2 linked regions of the Medicago truncatula genome follow. The protein of the gene in region 2 interacts with the protein of the main gene of each other region in a pairwise test. Links are inferred from orthologs where the notes say so. Each region holds a gene or a part of one and is shown on either strand. Other genes may lie near its edges.

Region 1 (9,611 bases), on a different chromosome or scaffold from region 2:
GTATCAAAATAACAATTAAAATTGAATAAAATTTATGTAGGGGCTAAACTTTAAAATTTGGTAACTTTATAGATACAAAAACACATTTAACTTTTGTTTTATGTTCCATTTAACATGTAGAAGGTGGCCCTTTCATATATCAGTGTCTGATGGATTGATTTAGTAACAATGCATGATGTGAAGACCAACTTTATTACTTTTAACAAGAGTTCAAGGAAAGAATGGTAATATAACATTTTCTTAATATTTTTAATTGTAGCTATTTTTAAAAAAAAAAAAAAACAATTTCTTTATTGTTATAGAATTTCAATGAAGGTATTGATTCTTTCCTTTTATTTCACATTTAGACCCTTTTTATTGTTGCTTCTGTTTTTATTTGGACATTATTGTACAACCACAACCAATAGATCAACTTAAAATTTAGGTCGGACCTAATTGCCTCTATTTATAAACATATTTTTAAATCATATCTCATTTAATCTGAGATTTTCAACAGATCCAAAAAATAAGTCACTTGTATATAAATCAAGTGAACTATATTATCTACATACATATATTTATAGTTGAGCTGGCAGACATATTTTTGTTGCTGGTTCTTCTAGGAATTCCTCTAAACTAATTAACCTGTAAACAAAATGACAGCAAGTAAAAATTTTAGTCCTTCAAAAAAGTAACAATTTTAGTAAGTTTTAGATATATAAGGAAATGCTAACCGGTACCTACAGAACACGGTTAAGGATGATAAAAAAGGAAATTAGATAATAGTTATTGCATTAAAAATGTGTAATTAATACTACAAAAGTAAAAAATGTTTTTTTTTATGATAATAATTTCCTTTTTTAGCATGTTTAACCAATATCCGGGGCATCAGTTAGAATCACCCTTTAAATAGAAAATGAAAAAAAAAATCATGAAACTTTTAATGATATGTCTTTATATAGCATATAATATGAGAACAATATTAGAGGCTATGTATTGGCCTACCCATTTTGCCACTCACAGCATCATTAATGTTTGCTGTTCCACTCATTGGTCCACTGCTATTGCTTGGTGGAATCATTGTTTGACTATTTTGTACAGCTTGGGGACCATATCTGTACATATTCATTGGCTACAAAATAGTACCAACATACAAGGTAAAATTAATTTCCATAGGTAAAACATGAGAATATCATTAAGTTATAAGGGGAGCATCTTAAATTTAGACCCTGTTTGGATAAATAACTTAACTAAACAGTTATATTCTAACAAAAAGAGAAAGTATAAGTTAAACTGTTTTCATATAAGATATAAGTTGTTTTCTTAAACTATCATGAAGAACTTGTGCAAATAAGCTGAAAACAACTTATAGACATGTCAAATAACTTTGTTTTTAAACACAAGGACTTCCCAATAGGTCACTCATCCTAGTACTACTCTCGCCCAAGCACGTTTAACTGCGGAGTTCTGATGGGATCCGGTGGATTGGTGCTGGTATGATCGCACCCGACATGTCATATTACTTGTTTCCATAGGATCTCGTAAATAGTCTCTCAGATGTTTATGTCAGTAGAAAAAACATATCAATCCAAACAAACCCTAAGTACCTGAGAAGCATTTTGCATAAGATGATAGCCCATGTAACGAGCATATTGCTCCGAAAGAGCAGGATTTTGCATCTGATTTTGGTAGTTGAAGGCACCTAAAACAGGATTTTGGCACGTTAATGTCTGATTTGGCGTCTGTGACGAAGAAACGGACAGATCCAGAGGCATTCTCGGTAATTGCATTGGATTTTGAAGTGGAGGAAACGAAGGCGTAGTCATTCCCATACCCATTTGTGACATATAGTGCTGATATCCCGGTAGCATCATTGGTGTCATGCCAGATCCCATCCACATTACCTAACAGAAAGATCAAAAAAATTCTTTAGCAATGCGAGGCGATTTTCATATGCAAGATATTATTGTATGGCACATAATATATACCTGAAGTTGTAACTGAAGTGATTTCAAGTATTCAATTGCCTCTTCTAACATTGATGCTTTGTCCGTCTGCAATATATATCACTTACTCAGTATACAGAATGGAAAATCGATCGTTTTCTATACAAGATTATATTGACGCGTATTCAGGGTTCAATACCTGATACTAACAAATTCTTTGTTGCCTTAAAAAATTAACCACTAGCAATTTCCTATAAAAAAAAACATGGTTTGATGACAAACCTTACTACTGTGAGGTATGAGTTGTTGCAATGCTTTCATCTTCTCATTAATCCTATCTCTTCGCCTCTGCATCAATAAATCAATAACACTTCTTGTAAGCGCAAAATTTTAGAAAACTTCAGTCTATCTAGAGAAGTGTCAAACCCTTACCCTTTCTGAAAGATTATGCACTTCAGCAGCGCGGTTCCTACGAGCCGACCCTGATCGCTGAGACGTCTTTTTCCTCACGCCTGATTTAAGTTCTGTATCCTATTAACACAAACCATAAAATCATAACTCAGTGTATCAATTAATGAAAAACATCTAATTATGAAGGTAAAAAGATAGAGGGCGCAGTTTTACCTCGCTTTGTTCGACTGAATCTTCAACATCCATCACTTTCCTCTTTTTGTCATGACTTCTTGTAGATAAAGAACAAGTTTTTCCAAGACTACTTCCCGAACCACCAGAAGATGAAGTAAAAGCAGGTTCCAACTTCTCCGATTTCCCATTCTCATGCCGAGGAATTGTCTTCTGAACATCATTTCTGACTTGTTCAGGCTCGGTCGATAAATTAGTCCAAACACCATTGCTTGAAACTCTGCTTACATCTGGATCTTGTTGGACTTGGTTGCTTCCGCAATAACTTGAACCGACTGTCATCGTCGAACACTCTCTAACATCACATTGTGACAGATTACCCGTAATTTTGTCTCTTAAATTTGCATCGCCGTTAGTAGATGCTAAAGTAACATTGGGATGTCTTGAAAAGTGAGAAAAGTTTACAACCTTGCTGGATCCACACAAATCATTGTTTCTTTGCGATGAATCGGGAACAAGGTGATGAAACCTCGGAGCCGACATAGGAAATTCCTGAACAAAAGGCGGTTTTGTATTCGTCGGTTGCGAATTGAAAGACTCGACATTACAAGGTGGAAGTTCAGATAAAAGATTTGAACATAATTCTTGTTCAAGTGGATCCTCAATAGGGTATTGTTGGATCCATGAAACAGTTTCATCATCTTGAATCAAGTTGCTTAAAGTTGTTGATTGAAGATTCTTATGAACTTGTCTTGAGTTATTCACAAGTTGTTTCTTATTTGTTTGGCTATTCAATACTACTTGACCATTCTGCCATAGAAGCTCCACAAGTTCATGGTCCAGTCTGTAATGTTAAACACATGGTTAATAATTAATTATTCATATTTTAATCAAATTTAATTTGGACAATAATATTGTTATGCTTTGATAATGAAATATTGAACACAAACCCCATAGGTTGCTTCTTTTGATTGGTGACAAAACTATCAATCCCAAAATTCCAATCAGGAATGGTGTTGTTCATCGCTAACTGAACCGAACTGAACCAAACTAGTACCTGTTTGCGCCAAAATGAAAGAAAATTAGTTTTTTTAATAGAAAAATGAAGATCCTTTAAGTAGAATTTGACTCCATTAAGCAGAAGAATAAAATATTATGTAAAGACCATTTAAATGAATAATCAAATATGCATGAGATTAAACAGATTTTTATATTGATAAAAAAGGAATAAAAAATTTAAAGGGTTTAAGAGTTTAGATCATGTGTGGAACTTTACTAACAGAAGAGAATTAATTAACCAATGAAATGAAACTAAAGTATTTTTTTTCTATTCTGAACAAAGAATTCCAATTTCAAGAGTCCCAAAATTGGAAAAATCAACACTCAATTACTATTGAAAGTACATGTACATTCATAAGCCCAGAAGAGAAAGATCATAAAATAAAATTTATAACAAAACATTAAACACAACAAATTAGGCAAAATTTGAGACAGCTATCTTACATAAAGATTGCATATTATCACAGACACAGAAAAACAATTTCCTAAAAAAGAAGAAAATAAGAAAGCAAATAAGCAAAGAAATGATTGATGAATCACTTTATAGTACTTTATTTAATTTGATAAATGAAAAACATGAAGTAGAGAGAAGTATGAAAATTTAATAATTTTTATGACCATTATTTATAACACTCACATTTAGATTTAGATAAGGATTATAAAAGAAGAAGTTCACCTAAACTGAGCAAAATAGATTTTAGTTTCTTTTCTCCTTTGTTTCTGACTTGCTGATGTAGAAAGTAGCTGGAAGCTTGACAGAGAAGCTCCTTGTTTGTTCCTGCTTTTTCTTCTGTGTTTGGTTCTCTTTGAGTGTGTCCTTATGCTTTGGAAAGTGTGAGAACAAAGTATGAACAAGAGGTTTTAACAACAAGAAAGATACTGACATCAGCACATTTAGATATATAGAGAGAGAGAGAGATGAAATCCCATGGTAATATCAATTGTAGAGTAAAATAAATCACATGGTAAAATCAGTTGAAAAGGAAAATAAATCACATGGTAAAATCAATTGTAAAGGAAAATGATATAGATTGTTCTAACTTCTAAGAAAGGAAAATTAATATGTGCTAGAGTGGTGAATTCTTTTTTTTTTTTTTTTTAATAAGCCAAAATGGAACATGAAATTAAAACGGGAGTGAAACACCACGCGTAAGGTGTGTAACGGATGAAACACTCAAAGTTACAAAGTCATTGGTGCAATATCAAGGGAGCACCATCCTATGGACGTAATAATAATGATATAATTACACAAAAACACCCATGCATGACATAGGGTTTCGCCACCCATCATGATAGTCAAATGCAAAGGTAAACAAATGCGCCTTTAACCACCAAAAAGAAGTATGTTTGACCATGTCGAGAATGATGAGGATCATCCGCCTTATTGTTGAAAACCTGACTGTTCCTCTCCTTCCAAATGACCCAGATACATGCAACCAAATTATTTTGAAGAACGAATGAGATGATTGCGACATGGCCACCATATATGACTAAACTGAAGAAAGTGAACATTAAGTGATAAAGGAGACACCGACATAAGTTGTAACCACTCCCAAACAAGATGTCATACACATCCCAGAGTCGCACAGCCAAAAGAAATATGCTTCGCCGTCTCTTGAGAGCCACAACCATCGGCACACAAAGTATTATCTGATGTAATGACATGCCGACACCGAACATTGTCCTTTGTTGGAAGAATATTGCACAGTAGCCGCCACCCAAAGAGTGAAACTTTTAGAGGTACTTGTCGTTGCCAAACATTGGATAGGTTGTGCCTATCCGTAGGCTCATCTGCAGATGTGAGGTACTGATAAGCTCCATGCACCGAATAGCCATGGATGGGGTCTAACAACCACTTCCACTTATCATTAGTACGCTCCTGCAAAACAATGTTAGATAATAAAGCAGAAAACTCCCTCACCTCTTCCTCCTCCCACGCTAAAAGGCGTCTTCTCCACACCCAAGCTCCTCCTCCTACCTCCCAACCTAAGGTCGCCATTTCCGCCACCGTACTCCCTCGCCTCACGGCCATATCAAATAGCATGCGGTATTTATCCCGTAAAGGAACACCGCCAACCCAATTATCTGTCCAGAAGTAAGTACTACTACCATTTTCCACAACCCGACGTGTGTTGTCGTCGAACCAACTCCCGACACCCAATCCCACGCCCCCTCGAACATCAGAATCTGTCCTCCACCATCTAAAGATGCACCGTCCCCCCTCCTTCAATCTCCCGTCCTCCTCACCCAATTCTATTTTTAAACTTTTAAAATTGTTTTATTTCACATAAAATTATTACTTTTTTATCTCCCTTAATTAATGTCCTTAAGATTAAGGGTGTTCACTATCAACCTAATCCAAAATAAAATTGCAAACCGATCTAAAAGAGCGATACATATAAATAATTGAGTATTTCTGGATGCATTTAAATAATGTTTTGTAAAAGACTCTTTAGGTAAGATTTTAAATCACTTTTTCAAAACCAAATTAAACAAACCAAACCACAATAATTGAGTATTTCTGGATACATATAAATAATTTATCTTCACTTTTAATCTCTCGTTTAAAGTTGACATTAACATTAACCAATCTAATTATGACACATAAATTAATTCAACTATTTTTTCTACTTTTTCATATATTTTTATGTTTAAAAAATTATACTTGTGACATTAGGTCACAAGTGCAATCCATAAATGTGATCTTGTTAGTAAATAATTATATAATTATATTATATTTATGAACAAAGGTTCAGATTTTATATCAATAAAAATGCTTACACATAATCCTCTGCTTGTTAATAATGATTTTTTTTAAGTAGTCTAATAGCTAGAATTCACTTTTTTTAAAGTGAATAAGTGGAGTGTTCGAGGTTCAAACCCAAACCCCTACATATAATAATGAATGTCTCTGCCAACTGAATTATGTTCACGGGAACCGTTAATAATAAATTTAAAGTTTACAATAATTGGATATGGAAAATTTATTTGCTTATCTGGATATTGGTTGTTGATTATTTAAAGCAGAAGGAAATCTAAAACTCAAAGCACATGGTGGGTGCTATCTCAAATTGGATGGAGGATGATGCCACTTGGCAGTGACAAGCTGTGTTTTTCTATTGGAGAAATGATAAGGGACATCAATGTCGGAGAAAAGACGTGGCCCTCATGCTCCTCCAAATTATCAAACACTATCAACCTATCTCTTTATTTTATTATTGTATTCTCTTACTTTTGCAAGACATAGAATTTCCACATGTGCATTGTTGTAATTAGATTATTATTATGAAATTCTTATGTCACTTAATAATAAAGTTGAAAAAAATTCTTATGTGGTACTGTACTTGCAAGTTGGAAGATATTGCTTTGATGCGAAACTAATAGACCTAACATAGGTTTGCCATTTTTCATGAGTACTGTTGTACAGCACTCAATTGGAGGAGTATCTCAAAGGGCATACAACAAATATATTAATATATTATAGGTTTAAGTATTTTTTATATATTTTTTTTAACTCTGGTCTCCTATCCGTTGATTGACTAATCTTAAAGATTCAATCTCATCGTCTATTTGTGAGATTATTTATCCTTTATCTAATAATTGGTGCGGGTGTAGCTTGGATTTGATGGAGCGGACTCTCATGTTATTTCAGATCATATCTTGCAATTTATTAATTATGTAGGTGGTCTGAAATCACGGCGATCCATTTTTCATCTGATATGGCTCTTGTGCGTTTGGGTCTTGTGGAACGAACGAAATAACATGTAATTTAAGAACCAACAAAGCTTTATTCCACTTCTGTTAGATAAAATAAATCATACTCTTTGTGGTGGTTGAAAGCTAGTAATGCTACCTTTGTTCTCGGTACTCATTTGTAGTGGTCGATTCCACTTATGTATTTGGCAACAACTAGCTTTTTATGTAGTTTTAACAGACCTATTATACTTTTCGTGATTGTTTTGGCACGCCTTGTGCTGAAGCGATTGCACTGTCAGTGTTAATATAATTCATTTTGACTTGTTAAAAACAAATATTTGTTTTAGTTCTTTATTTTTTTTATCTGTTTTAGTATTTATCTTTTTTACTAGGTAGCATACTAGCCTCCAACATTACATAGGAGTTATAAAAAAAGTTAAAAAATAATAGGTGGCAACCAGCGTGGATTTGATTGTTACCTTTCTAAATTTAACTTTGTTGGAACATATGGAGTGTTACGGTGTCGATTAAAACAAATTCTCATGTAAACTTTCTCAATATTAGTATTCATTTATGAGGCGAGATCAAGCCATTGATTTTTTAACGGTCAACTAATCATAGTCATTGGATTTGTAATTCATCTTTGGCTTTTCACCTATAAGTAGAGCTCCTCTCCCTCACTTCTATTCTCCCCAAAAGTTCTCTTGAGTTGTCAAATAATTTTTCTCTCTTCTCCCTCCTTTAGCTTGTGTTGACGAGCTATTCTTTTTCTCTTCCTCTTTTTTTGTCCCTTCGGATTTAAAGAGTGTTCTTAAGGTCATAGTCTATTCGGTTTAAAATGTCCCTTCGGAATTAAGAATGGTCTTAAGAACATAGTCCCTTTCAAGATAAAGTGTCCCTTCGAAAAATAAGAATGATCTTAAGAATATAATCCCTTTTTATGTTTTATGCCCTAGGAGAAAAAGTTAGAGGTTAGAGTGGCGGAAACACCATATAAGAATGATCTTAGTACCATATAAGAATGGTCCTAGTACCATATAATGGTCCTAGTACCATAATAGAGTGGTATCAATATCATATTAGAGTGGTCTTAGCACCATATTTGAAGGTGTATTTCTAGAACAGATCCTATAGTGCAATAGGACTTTGATACAGTTGTAGCTGGGTTGTTTTATCCTGGGGACATCGTGGTTGATATTCTTCTTTCACAATTTTGGACAGTGTCATGAAACGTCTTAAAAAGAGCGACCTAGTCCGCGAATCAGCCTACTAATATCTTCGGTGACAAAATTATTTTTTTTAACTAATTTTGACTATTGTTCCAACAAACTTCATCTCATCCTCTTCCATCATATATCCTCAAATTGAAAATTACGGTTCATTATCTCTTATCTTCTTCATTCTTGTGGCAAGTGTCTGAAAGCCAGTGTAATGAATGTGCTTTGGCAGCAGACTTGCAAGCATTTTTCTTCTCATAATACCAACTATTGGTGTAAACTATGGTGTTTATCCTTTTATAAACTAGTGATAGGAGGAAGCTCTAAGATATATTTGAACTAGATTGATGACCCGTGCGCCGCACGGGTCTTATAAGCTGTATGGCATTCGATAATATAATAAGACTTTAGATAATTGAAAAAGATAAAAATTAAGACAGGCAAAAATACAAATTAGAACATAAATATATTTGTAATCTCTCTTCTTAAATATTATATATGAAGGCTAGCTAGATAATAGTATAGTAATAAGATGGTGAAGTTTGTATTTCTTATACATCACGTGACATTTACATCAAAAACCAAGACACATTGCCCATATGATGCAGAAGCAAAAACCAAGACACATTGCCACGAATTTCCACACTCATCAAGCAACTTCAAGTTTGTTCTAGCCTTGTCAAAAGCTTGATCCACAAAATGTCCAAAATGCAACACCTTCATTTAAAGCGAACATCACGTACAGTAATTAGGATCAGGGACATGTAAATTATAAAGATGAAAACTGATTAAAACAAAAATAAACAAACCATACGACCTACCAAAAACCCCTTAGAAACATCATTTTCAGTTAGTTTTTTCATCATATTAACAGCAAAATTGTTGTTGTCATGGCGAAATGAAAGGTTAGCAGTCAAAGGAGGCAGATTATTGTTGAATGTTGGTGCAACATTTATTCTGTCGACAACAAAATGCATCGGAGGAACAAACACAGAAGGCTTGATAACCTTCCCAAACATGTCCTTCAAAACCATTGCAAATTTCCCCAAACCAACAAACATCAGGGTGATCCATGCTCCAAGTCGAATCCCATAGAAATCTCTGAGAGCCTTCTGTCCCTTAGAAAAAAAAA
Region 2 (9,570 bases):
ACATTTTGGACTCAATTTCTGAAAACCCGATTCTTCTACTAGCCACAATCAATGCGGAGTATCAATCATAACCTGCCGGTACAACTCAAACAATAAGTTTTTTGTTCAATAATGAAATTCCTCTATGATTTATGTCAAAGTAAACGATGAATTTGAGTGAAACTCCTACTGATACATGTTCACAATACTTACCAATCACAAAGTGATATTGCCAGGATTAGCAGCTTCACTGTCATCAGCCACTGAAGTATGGCCACCATTATGTACCAAAGTTGACTGTTTAAATCCAACAAGTTGTTAGTTCACACACACTAGTATAACAGAAAAGGGGAACATAAACATCAAGCGTAAGAATAACAGAAAATTATTACGGAAACAATGTTTTAACTAATGTGAAAATTGATCACAGAGACCTGGTTAGGGATAAACAGACCTGGTTAGGGATCTGGCTTGTAGAGTCACGACCAGCAGTGTTTTGCTTAATTTTTGAGTCCACATCTGGCCTTCGATCTTTTGAGCCACACGCTGAAGCCGGATTCACAGCTTCAACATGTCCTGTGGATCCATACACAGACGGACCCGGAGCGGATGAGTTCATAAGAGGCCCTCCTGAAAAAGGGAATACCGGAGTATGCGGCATTGGCATGGAAGTTCCCTGTCCCGGAAGTACAAACCCTTGAGTATTCGATCTGGCCATTCCATGCATAGCAGAGGGTCCAGGCATATGCGCAACGGGCACATGATTTCCTTGCATCTGAGGTACTTGAATCATTGGAAATCTAGACGGCACGCCGTTCATGTCAGGCATTCCCATTCCATAACCCATACCTAACCCCATATGCATGCCGATGCCCGTCTGTGAAAATGCGGCCATGTGTGGTGCATGCATGTGCTGCATTCCAGCAGGTAACATCATTTGAGGCATATATAAACCAGCTCCCATTGACATCATCTGCGTAAGATAGGAATCACTCTCAACATCGTTTATAATCAGAAAATTTAAAACTAAAATATTAATGCCGAGGGGGAACGATATTTACTTGAACTTGGAGCTGAAGTGTTTTTAGATACTCAATTGCCTCATCCAGCATAGAAGCTTTATCCACCTAGTCCGTATGAAGTCAGAAAAGCCGAAATAAATAAGGAATTAAGTATGCATACATGTAGAAAGTATTTTAATAGTTTGTATTGAACTTTTGACATTTTTTTTTTTTTTGAACAAGCCAAAATGGAATTTCTGACATTTTTATTATGAATATTGAATACACTTCATGAATACGGTAAATGATTGACTCCAAGTTTGATATTTGTTGCTGTAAATTTTAACTTCCAATAATTTCATAAATCTTCTGCACTAAAAAAGAACAAGCTTCTGTAACTAGCTAAGTTTGGATCCATAGTGGCAACCAATATTCTATATTTGTCAAAAACAACAAATGAAGTCCATAATTTTATACAGTTTTTCAGGTATCTAAGAAGAGCAAAATCAGAAGGAAAAAAACTAACCTTATTGCAATTAGGTATGAGTTCTTGCAATGCACGCATCTTCTCATTTATCCTGTCTCTTCGCCTCTGTATACATAAATTATGATCATCAGCCAAAATGGAAATAAAATAAGCTTGAGGAAAAATATGTGTGGTTACAAAGTTAACATGACACAAATAACAGATGGCCTTACTCACCCTTTCAGATAGATTATGCACTTCAGCAGCACGGCTTCTTTTGGAACCTGCAACTCCTCGTCCAGCCGCTCCCTTTTTAACTCCCACTGATTCATCCTCAACATCCTTCAATCAAAGTGTTTTCTTGGTTTATAGAGGGAAATTATAAATTAAGAAAACAATGTAAAAATATCTATATTATTAACTTACTTCACTATGGCATTCAGAGTCCTCAGTGTCTCTACTTTTCCGTTTTAAATCTCGATTTGGATCATCCGAGCCTCTGTCTGCACCATTGCCAGAGCAAACAGAAGAAGAGGCTACTGCCACCTCCATGCCTTTGTCAGCAGCTGCGTGTCCTTTAGCGCCATTGTCACCAAGAACTTGAATGGAAGGTTGATCATTCTTAATTCCATTCTCTTTGCAAGCAGGCTTCGATTGTTTAGTAGCTACAGCATTCGGTTCAAGCGATTTCGGCTGCAAAGGTTTCAAATCAGCCTTGGATGGCTCTACCACCTTATGACAACGCATTTCCGGTTCCTTTGAACACTCACCGCTTGGATTAACAAGAGCTGAATCAGGAGGATTGCTGCTAGTCGAAGCAGCGCCTTTATTCTTAACTCCCATAATATCTGATCTTGCTGAAGCTGAATTCAAACCAGACTTCAAGCCAATGTTCTGAAGATTAGCTCTCACAATAGCTGCAGGCCTTGCAAAATGGGAAAAATTCATTACATTGGAACCATTGCCAGGCATTACAGGATCTTGCTTCTGCGCTTTTAAGCTAGAAAAATCGCTCGAGGAAGATGGAATGCGAGTAATATCCCCATAAGGCACGTCCTGGTTACCACTACTAACATTATTATTTTCGGTTATATCTGATGCCCTAGATCTAACAGTTACAGATGTTGTTTGACATTGATTTGATGATGGGGGATATAACTGACTGGCACTAGCTTTATGTCTTGCAGTCTCAACAACCTGTTCAGCTGAAGAACCCTTGGAAACATTCATCGCTTCTGCAGAATTTTTATGAGAGTCCCTAAATATCTGATTCCCATTATTCCTTTTATCCAATAGAGTAAAACTATTCGAGGCAGGAAGGTCATTCTCCGTGAGTTCATGAAAGAAATCAGAACCATATTCGTGTTGCAAAGAGCCATCCATTGAATAATCCAACCAAGGCATCATTTCATCCACTTCGCGAGATGGCACCGACATTGGAATCTCATTCAATCCAGAGTCTAAATCACCAAACTTTCCTATCTTTGGATTGTTGTTACTAAATCCTCCTCCTACGTCTTTATCTTTATCTCGACCTCTAGGACTATGAGATGGTAAACAGTGAGATGGCAAACTCCTACAAGATGGACTCTTTCTACCTCTACTTGATTGACCTTGGCTTGAAATCTGACCACTCTCCCAAACCAGCTCAAAAAAATCATTCTCAGGCCTACACATTCAAATCAAATCCAAAACAAACAAAACTAAGAGAAAAAAAAACATAAACAAAAGAAACCATTTCATTTCATCAAACACATCAAAAAAGTTAATAACACAAGTTACAAAAGCTTATGTTAATGAACTTACGACGAAGGTTGATCTGCTACACTTGTGCCGTTAGTCTCATTATCAAGCTTCTCTCTGGCCAAACGGTATAACTCATAAAGAGGCATGATGAATGAATGAATCAAAAGCTCAACAGAACCAAAACCTCAGCTAAAAAACCACAAATCAAAAAACCAAAGCTCTTAGTATTAGCATTGCTTCCAACATATTCTTGTGTGTTATCTTTTCCACCTTTGGAATCCAAATGAAGTTTGAAGACAAAGCAGAAATACCTGACGTAAGCCACAATAAACTATGAGTGAGATAATCATATCAATCTCTATTCAATTTAAAATGAAACAAAAACAAGCTTGCATCAATGAAATTAAAAAAAAAAAAAATCTTTTTTTAATACCCAAAAAAGTCTTTATCAATGAATTAACAAAAGTTACAAAACTATAATACAAAATTAAGTTAATAAAACAACATCAGTCAAACAAATTCTTTATACTAACCTTGTCAAGTAAAGTAAGTGACTTTAATCCAATCTTAATTTTTTAATCTTAAAATTAAGCACTAATCAGCATTTAAGTCGGTTAACAAAAATTCCACTGAATACAGTGACACTGATTCTCGGCTGAGATCAAGGAAAATCTATGTAACTCCAATGACCCAGTTATCATTTTTCAACTGGGTAATCAAAAAGTTTCAAAATTTCATGAAAACTTTAGCTTAATCACACAACAAGAAGGTTTTTTTGATATTCCAAATGCAACTCAGAAGTTATCAAAAAAGCAATCTTTGAAGCTTGAAGAAAGAGAAAATGCACTATTTAAGAAGTTCGGGAATGACCCAAATGGACGAAGAAGGCGGCGAAAGATTTGCAGAGTTTGAAGAAAACCAATGCAGTGACACACGCACACAACTGGGAAGACAAAAACAGAGAAAAAAAAGGTTTCTATTCTAAACCATGGTTAATGTCTGGTTAAGTTTTGTTTCTTCTTTATTCATTTTTGGATCAATTTTTTTTTTTTTTTAAACCACTTTCTCTCTCTATCATTTAATTATTTCTAGGATTATTTGGACATATAAATAGAAGACAAGCGAGCACCAAATTGTAATCATTTAATTATTTATAGGATTATATGCACATATCAATAGAAGACAAACGAGCAACAAGTTGTACCGTTGGGTCTTTTTGGATAAATATAATATTTATGGACCTATGAGACATGACATTACTATGCACGAATGTTTAAACTCAATATAGAATGTCAACATCCTCTGGTGCTAGGAAGCCGAAAGTGTAAAAAAATAATAATGTAAAAACACGTTGATTGTCAGAACACCTTTCTCGTATTTGACCATTTTGCTTGACACAACTTTTAGGGCTGTCTGTCTTACTGTAAAAGCCTTGGCCCCTAATCCCACAAGTGGTGAAACCTCAATCAAGTCCACGCATGCATGTTTTCCTCCTGTCCATATGTACATCATAACATCCGCAGGCCTAAGTGTCGATTTTCTATCTAATGGGTCGGTCAGAAAGTTCAAAAGCGTCTCCTTCTTCACTTATACTCCCGCCCGCCTAAATACATCAAAAAGGATATCCCTAACAAAGTTCACATATACTTAAAGTCGAGAAGCTCCTTACAATGAACGACATGCTCTATATTATCTTTTCTCTTCACTAAATTTAAATAAGTGGTTTCAAATAGATAAATTTTTCGTGTTTTTTCATGATTTCGTCGTTTACGTGTTGTGTTTTGTTGTTTGGAATCTTGTATGATGTTGACGTTTTTTCTTTTATTTCTCGCGTTATTGCGGTGCTTATTTGATTCATTTTGATTTTATTATATTATTCGTAAATAATCCACTGTTGTTGTATACTATTAATTGAATATTTTGTTAGGACTACAGATTAATTTTTTCTAAGGAAACTACTAATTAAGTATTGTAAGTTTATTTATAGATTCATCCATATTATTTTTAACGATTTTAAACTTGTGATGTATTCGATACACTTTACCAATTTATATTTATTGTTTTTTAAAGAAAATAATGATTTATTATTGTTTTTTAAGGGAAAAAAAAAAAACAAAGTTTTCTTAAACCTTTTCAAAATCCAACGGTTACCCTCCTTTTAAGCGAGTGAATCACACGCTGCTATTGCTGTCTGAGACTTTTTTGCCCTAAAGTGGGTGGGTAGGTTTGTTTCCCATAATAGTGTGTGAGACCATGGAGTGGACCATGGTAAGATGAGAGAGAAAATGTCCCTGTACTGTGTATTTAATTTATAAGTTCTTTTGTATATATTATCCTTGCAAATTGGGTGCATCCATAATGCAACACAACAAAATCATATCCATATCATTATAACTTGTTTGGACAGTGACACTCTTTAGTAGATAACCTTAAAAAAATACATAATTAAATTTCTTGGTTTGTTAATTGAAGTTTAAGACATTAATAAAGTCATTGACTTGATCATTATTTTTTTTGTATTAATTAAAATAAGCTTAATTGACAAAAGGAGCAATCTTATTTCCCTTCATTGTGGGAGAGACTTTGGTTTAAGGATAATTGAGTGGTGGCCTATGATATTTGGCAATGGCAACTTGGCATTGCAATCATGCTAGAGTGGTGTCCTTTTTCTGATTTTCTATGTTTTAAAACTTATGTGCGTCTTGGATTTGTTGTGACAAGGGTTTTGGAATAATGAGTCTTGGATTTGTTGTGACAAGGGTTTTGGCATAATTAATCAGTGTATGAGTTGTTTTTATGCGAGCTAATTAATCACTTAACTAAGTAGGTGTGCTTAAATAGTTAATGAACTTTTCATTAAAATAAAATCGTATGAAAGAATTTGAATTAAAACCCTAACTAAAACAAAATAATCAAATCATAATTTATTACTTACCTCGGACAGAAGTCTGAAATATCATACCTTCTTCTACTAAAAACTTGAGAAGAAGTCAACGAAAACGTGAACAATTAATAATAAAATCAAATGCACTATATGCATTAGAACAAATCAATTTTTTTTCATATACACTTAATTCACTTTATATGAGTTAAATTCTCAATCATTTGAAATCTAAAGAATTAAAGACAACTACTTTAATTAGTTGTAGTTTTCTTGAAAAAGTATTAATTAAGGCTCATTTGTCATCATCAGGTAGAATCTAACATGTTCCTAACAAAATAAACTATAGTTAGATTAACATGCGCGGTCCCCATATTTTATTGTCACTAAAATGTCCCCCATGACCTCTGTGTTTAATTAGGCAAATACAACATAGTATAATACGAGTAGAGGTTTTTATTGCCACTTTCTAAGAATGCATATATTTTATTAAGACACGGATTAGTTATGGGTCAACGAGATAATCTGCAAGGGATTGGATGTCTGCCTGTCTTTTAATTAAAAAGATAGTAGTGTGGAGTAGCAAATTGTGTATCCTCTTTTTCTAAGTAACTACGTCGATGATATCAAAGTTCTTTGATTTTTGTGTATTTTTATAATATGTGTGATTTGCAGTAGATAAATAAGATAGATAGATATATGGAGATAAATATATCCAATGTCTCATGTATTCTGATACAACTCAGTTGATAGGTAATGTCTTTTTATAGCCTAAAAGAAGTGCTACTTTAATAATAGTATTTAACCCTGCAGATTTTGGTTGACGCATAACCAATCTATGCCGTAATGAAATGCATTCTTAGAAAATGGCAAGTACAATAACTACTATACCTATACGTACTGTGTGCCGTCAAAAAAGATACTCCATACCGTGACAATAACTAAGTACATTATACCATTTTATTATAGGAACCAAGTACAATATTAGATATCATGTACTTAGTTGTAGTATTTGCCTTATTCAAGACAAATTAGGGAATGCATGAGCGACATTTTAGTGAAAATAAAGTAAAGGAACATCGTGTAATCCAACTTTGATTGGCTTAATGATGTGTTTCGTCCTTGCAACTATTTTTGTCCATTCTCATGCCATTTTGCTAATTTGATGACGTTACAGTGATTAAGTTGGTCAAAGGACGAAATTTTAAATGATTAAATAATGTAAGGGTAAATTGTCAGGATTAGCGATAACAGGGACTAATTTTTAAATGACGCCTAATTGCAAGGACGAAACACATCATTAAGCCTAGTTGATTTATATGATTAGAAACATATTAGATTCCACCATTAATGAATGTCTCACATTCCTCGATAGAAATTAGTTATTCTCGATAAAAATAGTTATCGATAGATGACGGTAGAAACTTCGTACCTATAACATAGTAAAAAATACATGTTAGATTCTACTCAATGACAAAATAGCTTTTACTTCTTAAAAGAAAAACCACAAATTAGTTTTTTTTTTTTTGTGTAAACCACGTATATCATATACGCGCAACTGCATAAACTAATCCCTCAATATGAATAGTAGTATAATGGGTGACAAAGCCCTCCCTCAATATATTTAACAATGTTGACGGGTGGTGGCGGTTAACGGGATTATTGATTTGACCCGTAATTATAAGAAAAGTGCCTTATTTTTAATGTTGATTTTGAAAAGGCTTATGACTTGGTAAGTTTAACTTTTCTCGAGTATATATGCTGAGGAGATTTGGTTTTGGGGAGAGGTTGTGAAGTTGGATTAGTGCTTGTGTTTTATGTAGGAACCTCTATGTGCTTGCTATTGGCAGCCCAACTGAAGAGATCAACATCCAAGGGGGTTGAAACAAGGGGATTCGTTGGCTCCATTTCTCTTCCTTCTCATGGTGGAGGGCCTAAGTGGGGATGTTAGGAGTGCGGAAGAACGTAATATATTCTCTAGGTTTAGGGTGGGTAATGTTGGTTTGTCTATGACTCACATACTATATGCAAATGATATATGTTCTTATTTGGGGGAAGCATTGGTTAGGAATATTTAGTCTTTGAAAAACATATCCTTGTGTGCTTCAAGCTTGCCTTATGGTTCAAGATCAACTTTTCTAAGAGTCGTGTGATGGGTGCAAATATTATTGATGATTTTATAGATTTGGCATAACGATTTCTCCATGGTAGACTAAGATTCTTGTCGTTCATCTATCTTGATCATTAAAAAATAAAATGGATTATGTCATTCTTTATAAACTTTGGTATATCCTCATCTTTTTGGTGTGAGACTTTTCTCAATACAAAATATATATTAATAAAAAAGCAGCGTAATATATATATATATATATATTTTATAAATGCTAGATATTCATAGAATGATAAGTCTCATTTACAACGCATGGAGCATGCACTGCCTGCAGCACTATATATCTTCTATTTGACTGTTTAGCCTTTGAGGAGCCAACATTCCAAAACGAATATTTTATATTTGGGGAGCCAAAGGAATACTCTGCAAAATAAATAGAGATTAAAGCTAAGCTCATGGTGTGGACCCGACCGAGCTAGACATGGGAAATGCCCAACGTCCACTTGGACCCTTCCTGACCTGGTTAAGGGACTTGGCTGCATTCATGTGGACCTCACTTCCTATCTTTTTTGTGGTGGATGCATGTTCCATAGTTACAATATAAGCGTTAAATATTGTACTAGGATTAGTGTATATATGAGAGAAAGGAACGAGTCAAGAGTTTGCGGTGCAGATAACCATTGGTTAGATTGGAGAGTGATGGTTTTTCTAACTCATTAATAGATTTGAAATATATGCTTTGAATCAACAAACTACTGTCATTGTCCTAAATACAAGACAAAATTTGATCATAAAATATTAATATATTTAATTCAAATTTTAAACTAAATACATTAACTTTTATTTACTTAACTTTCGTTTTATATTTAAGACTAGAGAAAATGTTTGTAATAAGGTGCATGGTTGGTAAGTTCGGCAGACAGTTTAGTTAAAGGAACAAGAAGAGTGTCATAGGTTCAACTCTCCCCTAACAAACTAACAAATTAGATGATACATACTTATCTAACAATATTTTTTTTAAAAAAAATATTTAATCAAATGTAGAGACTATTCTTCAATAGAGCGTAAAATATAAAGACTAAAAACATATTTAACCCTAATTTGTACAATGGATTGGAGTCATTTATATTATATTTTAGCTTTGAAAGAAACATTTTTAATATATTTAATTATTCTAAATTTTAAAATGATATTATATAGTACTGAAATTTATTTATTTAATGGTAACTCATTTTAGTTATTGAGATATATTTCATCTTTAAAAAGAAAAAGTATTGGTTCAAAGTTCAAAGAACAATAACTGATTCTCCAAATGTACGATAGAAATTCTCTAGTCGTTATGACTGTAATAATAATTCAGAAACAGCTGAACTTCACATGCATGGAT

What was found.
Region 1: the proteins of transcription factor PIF3 (region 2) and transcription factor PIF4 interact in binary tests that used the Arabidopsis thaliana proteins (3 or more experiments, as listed by UniProt). The link is inferred for Medicago truncatula from reciprocal best matches to the Arabidopsis thaliana genes PIF3 and PIF4.

Annotation. Positions count from the first base shown.
Region 1 is NC_053044.1:18,763,252-18,772,862, reverse strand, and holds transcription factor PIF4, read right to left. Parts: upstream 4,434-9,611; 5' UTR 4,243-4,433; intron 3,565-4,242; 5' UTR 3,532-3,564; coding exon 3,458-3,531; coding exon of another isoform or gene 3,456-3,457; intron 3,352-3,455; coding exon 2,550-3,351; intron 2,457-2,549; coding exon 2,358-2,456; intron 2,274-2,357; coding exon 2,208-2,273; intron 2,034-2,207; coding exon 1,968-2,033; intron 1,884-1,967; coding exon 1,587-1,883; intron 1,482-1,586; exon of another isoform or gene 1,369-1,481; intron 1,112-1,368; coding exon 985-1,111; intron 625-984; coding exon 620-624; coding exon of another isoform or gene 616-619; 3' UTR 393-615; downstream 1-392. Other genes in the region: uncharacterized protein, read right to left, coding at 9,038-9,196, 9,301-9,540. UniProt on the Arabidopsis thaliana protein: Transcription factor acting negatively in the phytochrome B signaling pathway. May regulate the expression of a subset of genes involved in cell expansion by binding to the G-box motif.
Region 2 is NC_053042.1:41,800,948-41,810,517, reverse strand, and holds the start of transcription factor PIF3, read right to left. Parts: upstream 4,188-9,570; 5' UTR 4,063-4,187; exon of another isoform or gene 3,726-4,062; intron 3,504-3,725; 5' UTR 3,339-3,503; coding exon 3,253-3,338; intron 3,116-3,252; coding exon 1,873-3,115; intron 1,789-1,872; coding exon 1,684-1,788; intron 1,573-1,683; coding exon 1,507-1,572; intron 1,107-1,506; coding exon 1,041-1,106; intron 953-1,040; coding exon 434-952; intron 277-433; coding exon 196-276; 3' UTR 193-195; intron 73-192; 3' UTR 1-72.